Ovis aries: one gene and its partners. Each later gene encodes a partner of the first gene's protein in a complex. Links are inferred from orthologs where the notes say so. Each region holds a gene or a part of one and is shown on either strand. Other genes may lie near its edges. The genes, in order: ANP32A, nucleoside diphosphate kinase A 1 and TREX1.

Region 1 (4,299 bases):
GGAACGCCTCGGCGCCCTTCGGGTTCGGTCTCCGGCGGGCCTGGCCGTTAAAAATACAATAATAAGAAAACACCTCGAGCTCCAAACCAGCTCGGGAAGCTAAAAGGCCCGCCCGAGGGCCAGCCCGGCGCGCCCGCGGCCCGGCTCGCGCGCACGAGGCCCGGCCGCCCCGTCGCCCGGCCGCCGGCCCGCGCCCCGCGCCGCATGGAGCCCGGCGCCCGCATTCGGAGCCCCGCGCTCGGCGCCAGCCGCGCCATGGGGGAGGGGCGGGGCGGGCCGCGCGAGACCCGGGAAACATGGCTGCTCGTCCTATTTCGGCGTCGCGGCGTGGCCACCAGCCCCCGGATCAGAGTTGGGAGAGGCTCCCAAGGTGGGTGTGATGGGGGTCCCGGGGGGAGCAGGGCGGGGAGGGGTGCAGGGGCGCTCTCCGGGAGCTATTTATTTTAAGAATGTTTAAAAAAACGAGCCCCTCCTCCCCCACCCCTTTTGTCCCTCATTAGCTAGCTTTCTCCCCCTCCTCCCCAAACGGGCAGAAAGTGCCCCCTCCACCCCCACCCCGCCTCAAGGCAGGGGGCAGGCGAGTGGGCCGGGAGGCGAGGGGGCGAAGCGTGAGAAATCGCTCCCAGATCGGCGCGGCGCGTTCCCCTCCCCCAGCACACACTCGGGAAGTTTAAAGAGCCGGTTCGACCCGCTTTCGATCTCGCTCCCAGTTGGCCAGCAGCGGGGGGTAGGGTTGGCCGCCTGAACCGCGCCTCCACACCCTCCCGCCGCGACCCCGGCCCCCTACTTGGCGCCCTTCCCCCTCCACACGGGGGGCTTCCGGAAAGTACGCGGGAAGCCCGCGGCTCCGGCCCCCTCCCCCATCACCACACCCAGCCCCCCAATCCTCTGGCTCGGGGTCCAAGCTGGGATGAAACTGGCCAGAGAAACGCAAACCGCCGGCAAATTGTTCGTGGAAACTCCAGCGTCCTCCGGCGGGCAACCCCTCCCCTCCCTCCGCCACCCCCTCCCCGCCCTGCGCGCCATAAGGCACTGCACGTCTACAGTCCACAGCTGCGTTATGATGCGGGGGGGTGGGGGGGCGCACAAAAAGGATCTTGTTTTCAAAAGTCTCACTCAGGTTTGGGGGAGGAACTAGAGAAAAGAGGAAGCAAGGCCTGCCTCCGCCAGGGATTCGGGTTTTAACGGGTTGGAGGGGCGACAGGTCAGCGCACAGTGCTCCCCAAACTCCCAACTCTGTGGAACCCTGGCCACCGGGGCTGGGGTGAGGGTGTCCACCCGCCCGCGCTCCGCTGTCCCGGAGGGGCCACCAGAGGAGTCAGCCAGCGTCTCCGCCCCAGACCCGGGGTCTCCTCCGCTGAGCCTCCAACTCACATAAAACAGTGTTTGAAAGCGAGAGGGAGACAGAAATAAAAACGGGCGTCCGAGTAACCCACCGTCACCTTTCCCCTCCTTGGGGGTGAGCTTTCGCCCGAGCCTCCCAGTTCCCATCCGTGTAAGTTTCCTCCGGCTGTACTCCCGCTGCTGCCCAATCAATAACGGCGACGGGAAGGCAAACTCCCATCCCCGAGCTGCGTGTCTGCTATGCCCGCATAAATCTGGACCCAGCCAATACCCACCACGGGCACCAGCTCTGGGCAGCTCGCGTCCTGACAAAGTTTCCCGGGCCCATTTATTAATCGGGCGCCGAATGGCTGCCAAGGAGCCCACCCTAGAGAAAGACGGGCCGGGGGGCGTCAAGGCTCAAAGGCTGGCATCTTAGGGAGGCCGGAAGGAGCAGAGGCGAGGGGGGACCGGGACGTAGCCTTTGGGTAACTTGCAGTAGCGATCGCGCGAGGTGGGGAGGCGCGGGGATTATCTGTGCCTTTGCACGTTCGAAAATCCCTCCCCCCCTTCTTTCCATTTATCCTCCCTTCGGAAGGAAAGGAAGAAACATCAGCATCTGGCCCGAAGGTGGGGTGGAAAGAGTGAGGGAGACAGAGGAGGAGAGGAAGGGAGGCAGAGAAAGGGAGGGAGGGAGAGAAAGGGCGCGTTCACGAACACTACAAAGTTACAAATATGGCTCCCCCGTCTCTCGCCTCATCACTGCAAAGAAATGAAGACGCACTTTAAACTCGAGCCATTCCCAACTCCGCTGCAGCCCCCTCCCCACGCGCTCTCCCCAGGGGCCTCGGCCCACATTTATCAGAAACTAAACCGGACTCGCGAAGCCCAAAACTTATTGTGTGTGTGCGAGAGAGAGAGAGAGAGAGAGAGAGAGAAAGGGAGGGGGAAGGCGCGGGAGGGGGGCGGAAGGGGGGATTCATTTATAAAATATAAAACCCCCTTTTTTTGTTGTTAAATCCAGGAGGCAGCCCCTCTCCTCCTCCTCCCTCGTTAATCTTTCCCCCAGACGGAGTCACGGGAGCAGAGAGCTCAGAGGGTTATTTTGCCTCATTCTCTCCGACCCAAACGCGTGCGCCCGCTGGCCCCCGATGGGTGCACACTCGCACGCACACTCGCACCCACATTCGCACACGCGGGAGCACACGCACAGGTAGTCACACACCAAGGGCAGCGGCGGCGGCAGCCGGAACATGCTTGGATGGCATTGCAACCCCCCAACCTTGCAATTCATTTGCAGTCCGACCCCCAAGCCCACATCTCCCGGGCGCCCCCCCTCAAAAAAAAAGTGCCTCCCCCTAACGCGCACACACACAAAGTAGGAGAATGGACCGACAGAGATATTTTTGGCAAATGCTCACATCAGAGGGCGTCCTGTTCCGCAGCTCTAAATGAATCCGTTTGTCCATGTCCATCTCTCGCGCTCTCTCTCTGCAGAGGCTCCCGCGCCGGCGGAATTCAATCAATAAACCCCGAACCCACGGCCGCGCGTTTTAGGACTTTGAAGGCTCAACCAGCTCCGCTCGGTTCTCGAGCCCCCAGCACCCGCGGCGCACACTAACCTGATCACCGTGGAGGCGGGATCGGCGGCCTCGCGAATGAGTAGCAGCAGCGTTAGCCAATCGCCGCCGCCGATCTCCGGGCAACAGCGAATGGTGGTGGAGGCGGGGGGGGAAGGGACCAATGGGCGGGCTGCGCAGCCGGCCAGGGAGGCTCAGCCATTTGGTTGTGGTGCCGGAGACGGACCCCTTTAGATTTCGGGGCGGCTGAGGAGCGCGGCGGCAGCTCGGTCGCTGAGCGAGGGGGGTGGGCGGAATGGCGGGGGAAGGGAAGGCGACTGTGCCTGGAGGGCCGAGCCGCCCGGCCTCGCCAGCCCGCCGCCGCCTCAGCTTTTGGCCGGGGGCGGGGCCGCAGGTGCGTTACACGAAAGGGCGGGGTGCGGCCGGAGGGGCCGGGGGTAGGGGTCCTAGCCGGGCCGTGGGCTTCGCCCCGGGTCTGTCCGCGCCGCACGACTGGGCTGTGGAAAGAGGCAGGCGGCGAGAGGTCTGGGGGCCGCGGACTGCTCGGCGGGCGGGCCGATGAAAGGCCTGGAAAAAGGGGGGAGGGGTCAAGGGTGCAGTTGGGGGAGGGGCTGGTCATTTTCTGGGTCCAGAGGGCCGAGCTAGCGGAGCGAGGCTGCTACCCCCCATCTCCTCCGCGGGTTCCCACCCCGGGTCTGCGGCTCACAATCCGCGCGACCCTTCGCCTCCCTCCTCGTCGTAGTCCAGCCGTGACCATCGCAGCCTCTTGAATACAAAAGTAAATAAGCAAGATGCGTCCACCTTTGGATGACTTAACTCGCGGTCTAGACCCTCTACTTAAAGGGGCATTTCAGTTTGTTGTCATATAAGGTCAGCTTGGAAGGAGTGATCTGGAGGCACCGGCAGTCTTGTTTAGTCAATAAATGAGTGAAGACCATGGACTAAGAATTGATGCTGAATATTCTGAGTATTTTAAAAATGGAAAAGAAAGGTGCTAGTAAGTCTGGTTTTCTGGACCAAACATTATTTATGGGCTTTATTGACCTAGTGAAAGAAAACGGCGCAGTTTTTCATTGTCCACCTGAGTCATTTGGTTCAATTTGGACTGCCAAGGAGGCTCTATTTGGAGCATTTTCTCCAGGTTTTACGGTTTGCTTGCTTTGGGGTTTTTGAATCACAGTTGTTGTAAGAGATCTTAAAGCCTTAATTCCCATCTGGTTACCAACTTACTGTGGCCAGTTCTAGAACTTTTATTGTGTACTAAGTTGGCTGCCTATGTCTGTTAACAGATCACAGGGACTGCTGTCAACAGGACAAATACATCTCCACACAATTATTTTTCGATTCTTTTATTTCTACACGTCTACACACTTCCTCATGTACTCCAAGGTAGTTC
Region 2 (3,645 bases), on another chromosome or scaffold:
GGAGCCTCTGATCGCCTGGGTCCAGATTGAGGGTGAACTGGCAGTCACATCCACTTGATATGACTTAACAGAAGCTTATTCAATCAAATGAATTATAACCCCGGCTTTTCGACCCTTCTCCACTCCGGGATATTAATTCATAGATGGGGGGACTGAGGTGGAATTAGGTTTTTACTAGAGAGTCCTGGAATTGATGTCACAGATTTAAAGCAGCTTTGTGGGATAATCTGCTTGAGAAGGATAATGAGGTAGGCAGGATATTCAGTGTTGCTTCATCCCTCCACCTGCCTATCCCCAGGACCATGGCCAGCAGCGAGCGCACCTTCATTGCCATCAAGCCCGATGGAGTCCAGCGAGGCCTCATGGGAGAAATAATCAAGCGTTTTGAACAAAAGGGATTCCGTCTTGTTGCCATGAAATTCATGCGGGTAAGTGGACTTCATTCTTGCTGTTTCTATTACTTCATAGAAATAGGGGAACACCGTAGGTCAGCCTCTCTCTCCCTTCAGATCATTTTAGATTTCTCCATTTAGAGTGAATAAATGTCCTGAAACTGTGGCCTCTCCACCGAGTCTTGGAATACAGCGAGTTATTCAGGACTTTCAGAAGTAGCCTCCCTTTTCTCTTGGCAGTGCAGAGTTCCACATATTACTGTAACACAGTGATTTCTGACACAAAGCCCTGGACCTGTTTGAGCTGCTGATCTTGAGCTTCCTGAGCAGATCATTTTAGAGACTCCCTGACCCTCACCTTTGCCCCCACCCCCCCACCATTTGAGGCAAATTGTTTTTCAGCAAGGAAGTCTTTTTATCATTGTTTACCACCTGCCTAGTGTCTAGCATGTATTAGACGCTATCTGGGCATATAGGGGAAAGCTGTGGCTGTGCCCTTGGGGAGGCCCACCTGAAACAGAGAGCAAATGCCCTTGCAAGATACCTGCAAAGCAATATTTCAAAAACTCCAAAGGATTGATTGGCCAAGAACCCTTCTTCAAACACACCTGGGAAATAACTTAAGTTCTCAAAGCAAATACATTAGGGGATCATCTTTTTTTCCCCCTATTAAGAGTCACCTTTAGTGAATGAATCAGAGAAAGAGAGTCAACTTTGGACTTTCCCAGTGCATTTTATCTTTTAGCTGCGCTGCATGGCTTGTGGGATCTTAGTTTCCTGACCAGGGACCGAACCTCAGCCCTGGCAGTAAAAGCATTGAATTCTAGCCACTGGGGCTGCCAGGAAATTCCCCATCTAGTGCATTTAAAATTTTGTTTGATTTGCACTATAGTTCCCATGTGATGTTTTAGAAAAAGTGTGTTAATATAAAAGGGAGCAGACTGCTGTTAATGCTGAGGGGATAGCATGATAGAATGATTAGAACCAGGGATTGGATTAGCAGTGCTTTCCAGAGAGTTTGTATATTGAATTAGGTTTTGAAGATAAAGGGAAATCAAAGTATTATTGATCAGATATTTACCATGTGTTGGGCACATGTGTTTTCTCACTAGCTCTCATGACAACCCAGAGAAGTATTTATTTCTATTCCCATGGTTGTTAATGATAAGGAAGCTAACTGGGGCTTGGAGAGTTTGAGTAACGTGTGGTTACCCAGTTGGTGACGTAGCTAGGATTTTCACGCAGGGCTCTCTGACCCTTAAGTGCATACATTTTGTCCTTTAGACTGTTTCCTATCAAGGGCCTGGACTTGGTGAAGAATGGGTTGGGGGATAGCTGCCATGAGCCTACAGGGTTATTTAAATCTGATGTGAAGGAAAACTTGAGTTCCCTCCCACCTGTCCCCGCCTCCCGCACCAACACACAAAAAAAGCCAGCGCCAATTAATAGAATTAAAAGAATGTTGGTAAGGGAAGGTCATCAGGAGACAATCACTGCAAGTCTCCCATATGGATTGAGGGATGGGTCAGGATGAATACTAACGGGGTGACGATGTGGCTGTGTAATTTTACTTTGGCAAGAGACGATCAATGGGGCTGAACGATAGCATGTTCAGGATGTGCTTTTTGGCAGCAAATCCCCACGTTTGTGTGTATCACTGAAGTGTGCAGCATTCTGTACGAAGCAGTACTACAGAACTGGGAAAACTAAGGGATCTCATTAGACCCTTAAGGAGCATGTAAGTGGTAGCAAAGAGGAAACACAGGTGAGTCGAGTTGGCATTGCTAAGCAGATGGTTTGCTCTCTATAACTAGTCTGATTTGTTCCCAGATACCAGCCTTGCAACGTGAAAGATTTATTCTTTAGTAAAGTGACTTATTGTTAGATGGCATGTGCTTTTGGGTGGTTTGCAATACCTGTGGAAATTGCATGGTCACTGCACTGGGCCTTTGCTATTTTTTAAATGTGATGAGAAATGCTCTGGTTCAGTTTGCTTTTCATCCAATGCTGAGACCACCTCCCTCTAACATTTTAGTTGAGAATTGTTTGGGAATGCAAATTCATCGTATTGTTAGTTTTCCTGTCTAAAATACCATGGCTGGATTCAGTTCTAGTGTTCTGTAATTTTATGCTGATCAATCAAGGACAATAGGGGAAAATTGGTAAAAGCTGGAGCACTTATAGTCCCTGTCACTTTTGGTAAGTTGAGTGAATTAGATTATAATAGAACAAGTGAGCTGAGAGCTCACGTTTTAAATAGCAGGATTGGTGAGTGGGAAATAACTAAATTGTGCTTAAATAGTTTGGGAATGAAATTTCTTTCTCTATCTTATGGGCTAGGCTTCTGAAGACCTTCTCAAGGAGCACTATATTGACCTGAAGGACCGTCCATTCTTTGCTGGCCTGGTGAAATACATGCACTCAGGGCCAGTGGTTGCCATGGTGAGTGTACATGTTTGGGATGTTGATACAGATGGCTCAGTTGGGAGCAAAGAGTGAATATTGTGATTCCTGCTCCTAATGCCAGGTCTTCACTGATGCGAGGATGCTGAGACTGGGGCATTGGACAATTAGGGTATGAGTTTTCTGACTCACCAAAGGCAAAATACATTTGCTTGGTGAGCTGAAGACTCATATCTGGGAGACATCAGGAGAGAGATGCCTGATTGTAAGCTCCTGGAGGGTAGAGAGATTGTGTCTTATTTATTGTAGTAATTCTTCTTTGAGCACGTATTGGTTGTCATCTTTGTGCCAGGCTCTTTTTTAGACACTTGGGGATATAATCATGAATGAGACAAAAATAGGTAACTGTTTTCATAGCTTTCCTTGCCTGTATATCCTGAAAAGGGAGGATGGGCAGATAATAAAGAAACCAAAAATCATACATAGCAGCTAATGATTAGTGATGCACAGAAATGAAATAAGATGACATAATAGGAAGTGGCCACATTAGATTGAGTGGTCAAGAAACATGATTTTCAAACTGAGATCTGCATGAGAAGGAGCCGGCTATGCACAAATATAGAGTGAAGAGCATTCTCAACCAAGAAAATAGCATGTGCAAAGAACCTGGGGTGGGGAACTTTTTGAAGTACAGAAGGACGTTTGGAATAGATGAAACCTGGTGGGTGAAAGGGAAGGTTGGGTGAGATTTATTCAGTGGCAGAGGCAGAGGCCAGATTATGTAGGGCTGTCTTGGCCCTGTACTTCATGACTGCTGGGAGGCTGTAGGAGTTTTTTACGCTTGGTATTT
Region 3 (3,388 bases), on another chromosome or scaffold:
CATGGTTCTGGTTGCCCCGGTTGGCCCTGGCCCCTTTCACAGGTGGACAGGGCAGCCTCTGACCACTTGTCCACTCAGGTGTCCTCCCTGCAGTGTTTTTATTTTACTGTTCACTAACTATTTTACCTGTTTTCTGTTTCAAAATGTGTGTAATGGTTGCTGTGAGGCTGAAACCGTTGGGTCCTAGAGGGAGACTTCCCTGAGAGGAGAGGGACTCTGAGTTCCTGCTTCTCCATCACCAGCCTCACAGGCTACCCGGCTGCTGGACCCCGGGCCTAGGTGTGTCCTGGCAGCGGGGACACCTGGGTCAAGGTGTCGTCTGGACCAAAGGTGGAGGGGACCCTGAGGGGGCTCCTGTGACCTAGACACATACCTCGGTGTTCCCCACCCCTCTGTCTGTGTCTTACCATGTCGTAGGTTGGGACCTCTTAATGTGTTTGGAGTCTTGGGTCTGCACCCTTGTTTGTAATAAATGCAGATATTTCGAGCTGTTGCCTCCTTTCATTGTAGCCCTGGCTGCTGGGATTAGGGGTAAAGACTCATTTTCTGTGCCCCTGGCCCCAGGTCTCTGAGCGTGGGCAGGAAGCTGTAAGGCCACCACAGCAGGTAGAGGTGAGTGATCGCTCAGTGCTGTGGGGGTTTTTTATTAGTCAGACTTCCCTTGCTGGCCTATTGCCCGGGCATGGCCAGGGACAGCCCATACAGCATGGCTACCGCCAAAGTCAGGAAGGCCAGAAGGCCCAGGGGGGCCAGCAGCCCCTCCCCGGGTGGGGCTCCAGGGCACTTCACTGGGGGAGGGGCTGGCTTGGGGCTCCTGTCTCCGCGAAGCTTGGGGCCGGTGTCATTGGCTCTGGCCAGGGGCACAGTGGCTGTGACAGCAGATGGCCTCGGGTTGGTTCCAGTAGATGCTGTGACCACGTACATTGGCTTGACGGTGCTGAAGGGCTTGGCATGAGCATCCACCCACCGTAGCAGGGCCCGCGGCCTCCACTGACAGATGCTTAGCAGGGCGAGCACGTCCCCCTCGGCGGTATGCGAGTCTGGCGGGGCCTGCCCGTATAGGCGTGTGTAGATGCTGCCCAGGCTGTAGCTCTTCCTTGGGCCATGCTCTGAGGAGCTGCCAGCCGGCTCCAGAGCCTTCAGAGCAGCGATGCTGTCCACACAGAAGGCATCGTCCAAAGCACTGGCCAGGCCCAGCAGCGCCAGCTCGGCCCGGAGCAGGGGGAAGTCGTAGCGGTCACCATTGTGGGCCACAAGGCACCAAGGCTGCGGCTGGCGCTGTAGGAAGGCGCGGATCAGGTTGACCAGGTCGGCGTCAAAGACCCGATGCCCATGTGCAGCCAGCACGGCAGTGCTCAGGCCCGTGATCTCGCTGGCCACGGGGCTGCATGCCTTCCCTGGAGCCACACACAGGGAGAGCTTGTCTAGCACCCGGGGTGGCGGGGGTGCCGTTGGTGGAGACCCCTGAGGGGTGGAAAGGCCCTCCAGGGCATATCTGTGGATGGCCAGCAGGCACAGCTCGGTGATCTTGGGCTGGGAGAAGGGCAGGCCAGTGGCCTCCAAATCCAGGAAGATGAGGGTCTGCACAGGCCCCGGGGGCAGGGCCCGTGAGCCCATGGTGGGTGTCTGCCGCTGAGCCTGGGGAGGAGCAAGGGGTCGGGGTGGGAACGTGAGTGCTCGCTGACGGGCGGTAAGGCAGGTGGAGTGGGAGCACCTCAGGCCTTCCCTGCCCCATTAGATCCTGTTGCTGAGCTCCAGCACCCACTATCAGGCAGGAAGACAGAGAAGGTAGGGTGGCTTCCTTAGTGGGACCTGCTCACTCAGCTGTCCAGGGGAAGGCTCAGCTCCTCCCCTGGGGCCCTCTTAGTGTGTGTTGGGGTACCCACAGCCCTCCCACCCTGCCTCATCCCCTTGGGGGTTCTCACTTACCGAGGAGCCAGCAGGCAGCAATGACTCAGGGTACACACTCTCTGGCTGGTTCTTGCTGCCGGCAGCAGCAGTGGCGGGAAGTGAAACTTGGCCTGAGCCCGCCCAACGGCTGGTGTGAGCACGGCCCGCCCCGCTTGTCAGCTGGCCTGGGCCATCCCTCCTAATAGCACCCGTCCTTCCCCAGGCACCCGCAGGGCTGCCCCAAAGGCCTCAGATCTCTGGCTGTGGGCCCACTGGCTAGCATGGTGCACCAGGGCCCTCACACGCTCACGGTGGGAGGACCAGGCTATGGGGGGAGGTTGGCTCCATGACTCGGCCTGCCGGGAGCCGCCCTGCCATGGCCATTTTGCACCCAGTCCGTCGCCTCACTTTCCCAGGCCTCCCTGGTTTAGGCCTGGGCTGAGGGCCGCCTCCACCCCTGCGCACAATGGTTTCTTCCGGTGGCCTCAGGAGAGAGGGATGACTCAGGGCAAATCCACAGGGGCAGGGCTCCTTCCCCAGGGCAGATTCATCCCCATGGGGCTGGGGCTCCGCTCTGCTCTGCCCCTCCCGCTCTGCTCTGCCCCTCCCGCTCTGCTCTGCCCCTCCCGCTCTGCCCATGCGGAGCAAACTCAGGAAACAGAAAGCTGGCGTGCTCTCAGCCAGTCAGTGCTTTTAATCAGAGGAGGAGGGAAGGACAGGAGTGGCTCTGGTGCCACCGTGTGGCTCGGTGCTCACAGGCCTCAGCCACAGTCCATCTCGGGCTCGTCCGCGTCGGTCTCCACGGCACAGAGATCCTCCAGGGCCGCCTCTGAGCCAAAACCCAGAAGGTTCTGTGGTGAAGGCCCAAAGGTGCTGGGACTGGGGGTGGCCCCACCACTCCGTCCGCCCCCCCAGGCCCACAGGAACTAACCAGTCCCTTCCACGCCCAGGCCTCGCTCCCTCAGCTACTGCAAGCAAAGTGACAGAAAGGCAATTCAGACAGGGATGTTTCTGGAAAAGCCGTGGCTCTGCCTGGCTGACTCAGTAGATACGAGCCAAAGGCAGGCTGATACACTGAGAGAGGAGCCAGAGCAGGAAAAGGAGGAGTGGCCTGGTGCTGGCAAAGGCTGTGTGGATGGTGGGCCGCTGACTTAAGGCCAGAGGGTCTGACTCGCCTGGGGACTTCAGGGCCGACCCCACGTGGGTGCTGGGGTGGGGGCGCCTACTGCAGGCTCACCTTCACAGTCGGTCACGTCAGGAAGCCCTCGAATCAGCATGCTGACCCCGGGCATGACCTGGTCGTACTGGTGCAGGACCTCCACGCAGTGCACCGTGAAGAGCTTGTCCTTCTGGGACAGGCCGTGCAGCAGCAGCACCGTGTCCCGCAGACACCGCACCGTCCGCCTCTGCCGCTCGGTCTGCGGGGGGCCCCCTGCCCGCCGCACCGTCAGCCACTGTCTGTGCAGCACCACCGTGAGTGCTCTGACCACCTGCGGGA

The links.
Region 2: ANP32A (region 1) and nucleoside diphosphate kinase A 1 share a complex: the UniProt entries of both Homo sapiens proteins name them as parts of the SET complex. The link is inferred for Ovis aries from reciprocal best matches to the Homo sapiens genes ANP32A and NME1.
Region 3: ANP32A (region 1) and TREX1 share a complex: the UniProt entries of both Homo sapiens proteins name them as parts of the SET complex. The link is inferred for Ovis aries from reciprocal best matches to the Homo sapiens genes ANP32A and TREX1.

The regions. Positions count from the first base shown.
Region 1 is NC_056060.1:15,612,008-15,616,306, forward strand, and holds the start of ANP32A (acidic leucine-rich nuclear phosphoprotein 32 family member A), read right to left. Parts: upstream 2,916-4,299; 5' UTR 2,799-2,915; coding exon 2,745-2,798; intron 1-2,744. UniProt on the Homo sapiens protein: Multifunctional protein that is involved in the regulation of many processes including tumor suppression, apoptosis, cell cycle progression or transcription. Promotes apoptosis by favouring the activation of caspase-9/CASP9 and allowing apoptosome formation.
Region 2 is NC_056064.1:35,333,921-35,337,565, reverse strand, and holds part of nucleoside diphosphate kinase A 1, read left to right. Parts: intron 1-298; 5' UTR 299-302; coding exon 303-428; intron 429-2,732; coding exon 2,733-2,834; intron 2,835-3,645. UniProt on the Homo sapiens protein: Major role in the synthesis of nucleoside triphosphates other than ATP. The ATP gamma phosphate is transferred to the NDP beta phosphate via a ping-pong mechanism, using a phosphorylated active-site intermediate.
Region 3 is NC_056072.1:51,426,249-51,429,636, forward strand, and holds TREX1 (three-prime repair exonuclease 1), read right to left. Parts: upstream 2,019-3,388; 5' UTR 1,930-2,018; intron 1,639-1,929; 5' UTR 1,618-1,638; coding exon 670-1,617; 3' UTR 625-669; downstream 1-624. Other genes in the region: ATRIP (ATR-interacting protein), read right to left, coding at 2,652-2,719, 3,128-3,380. UniProt on the Homo sapiens protein: Major cellular 3'-to-5' DNA exonuclease which digests single-stranded DNA (ssDNA) and double-stranded DNA (dsDNA) with mismatched 3' termini. Prevents cell-intrinsic initiation of autoimmunity.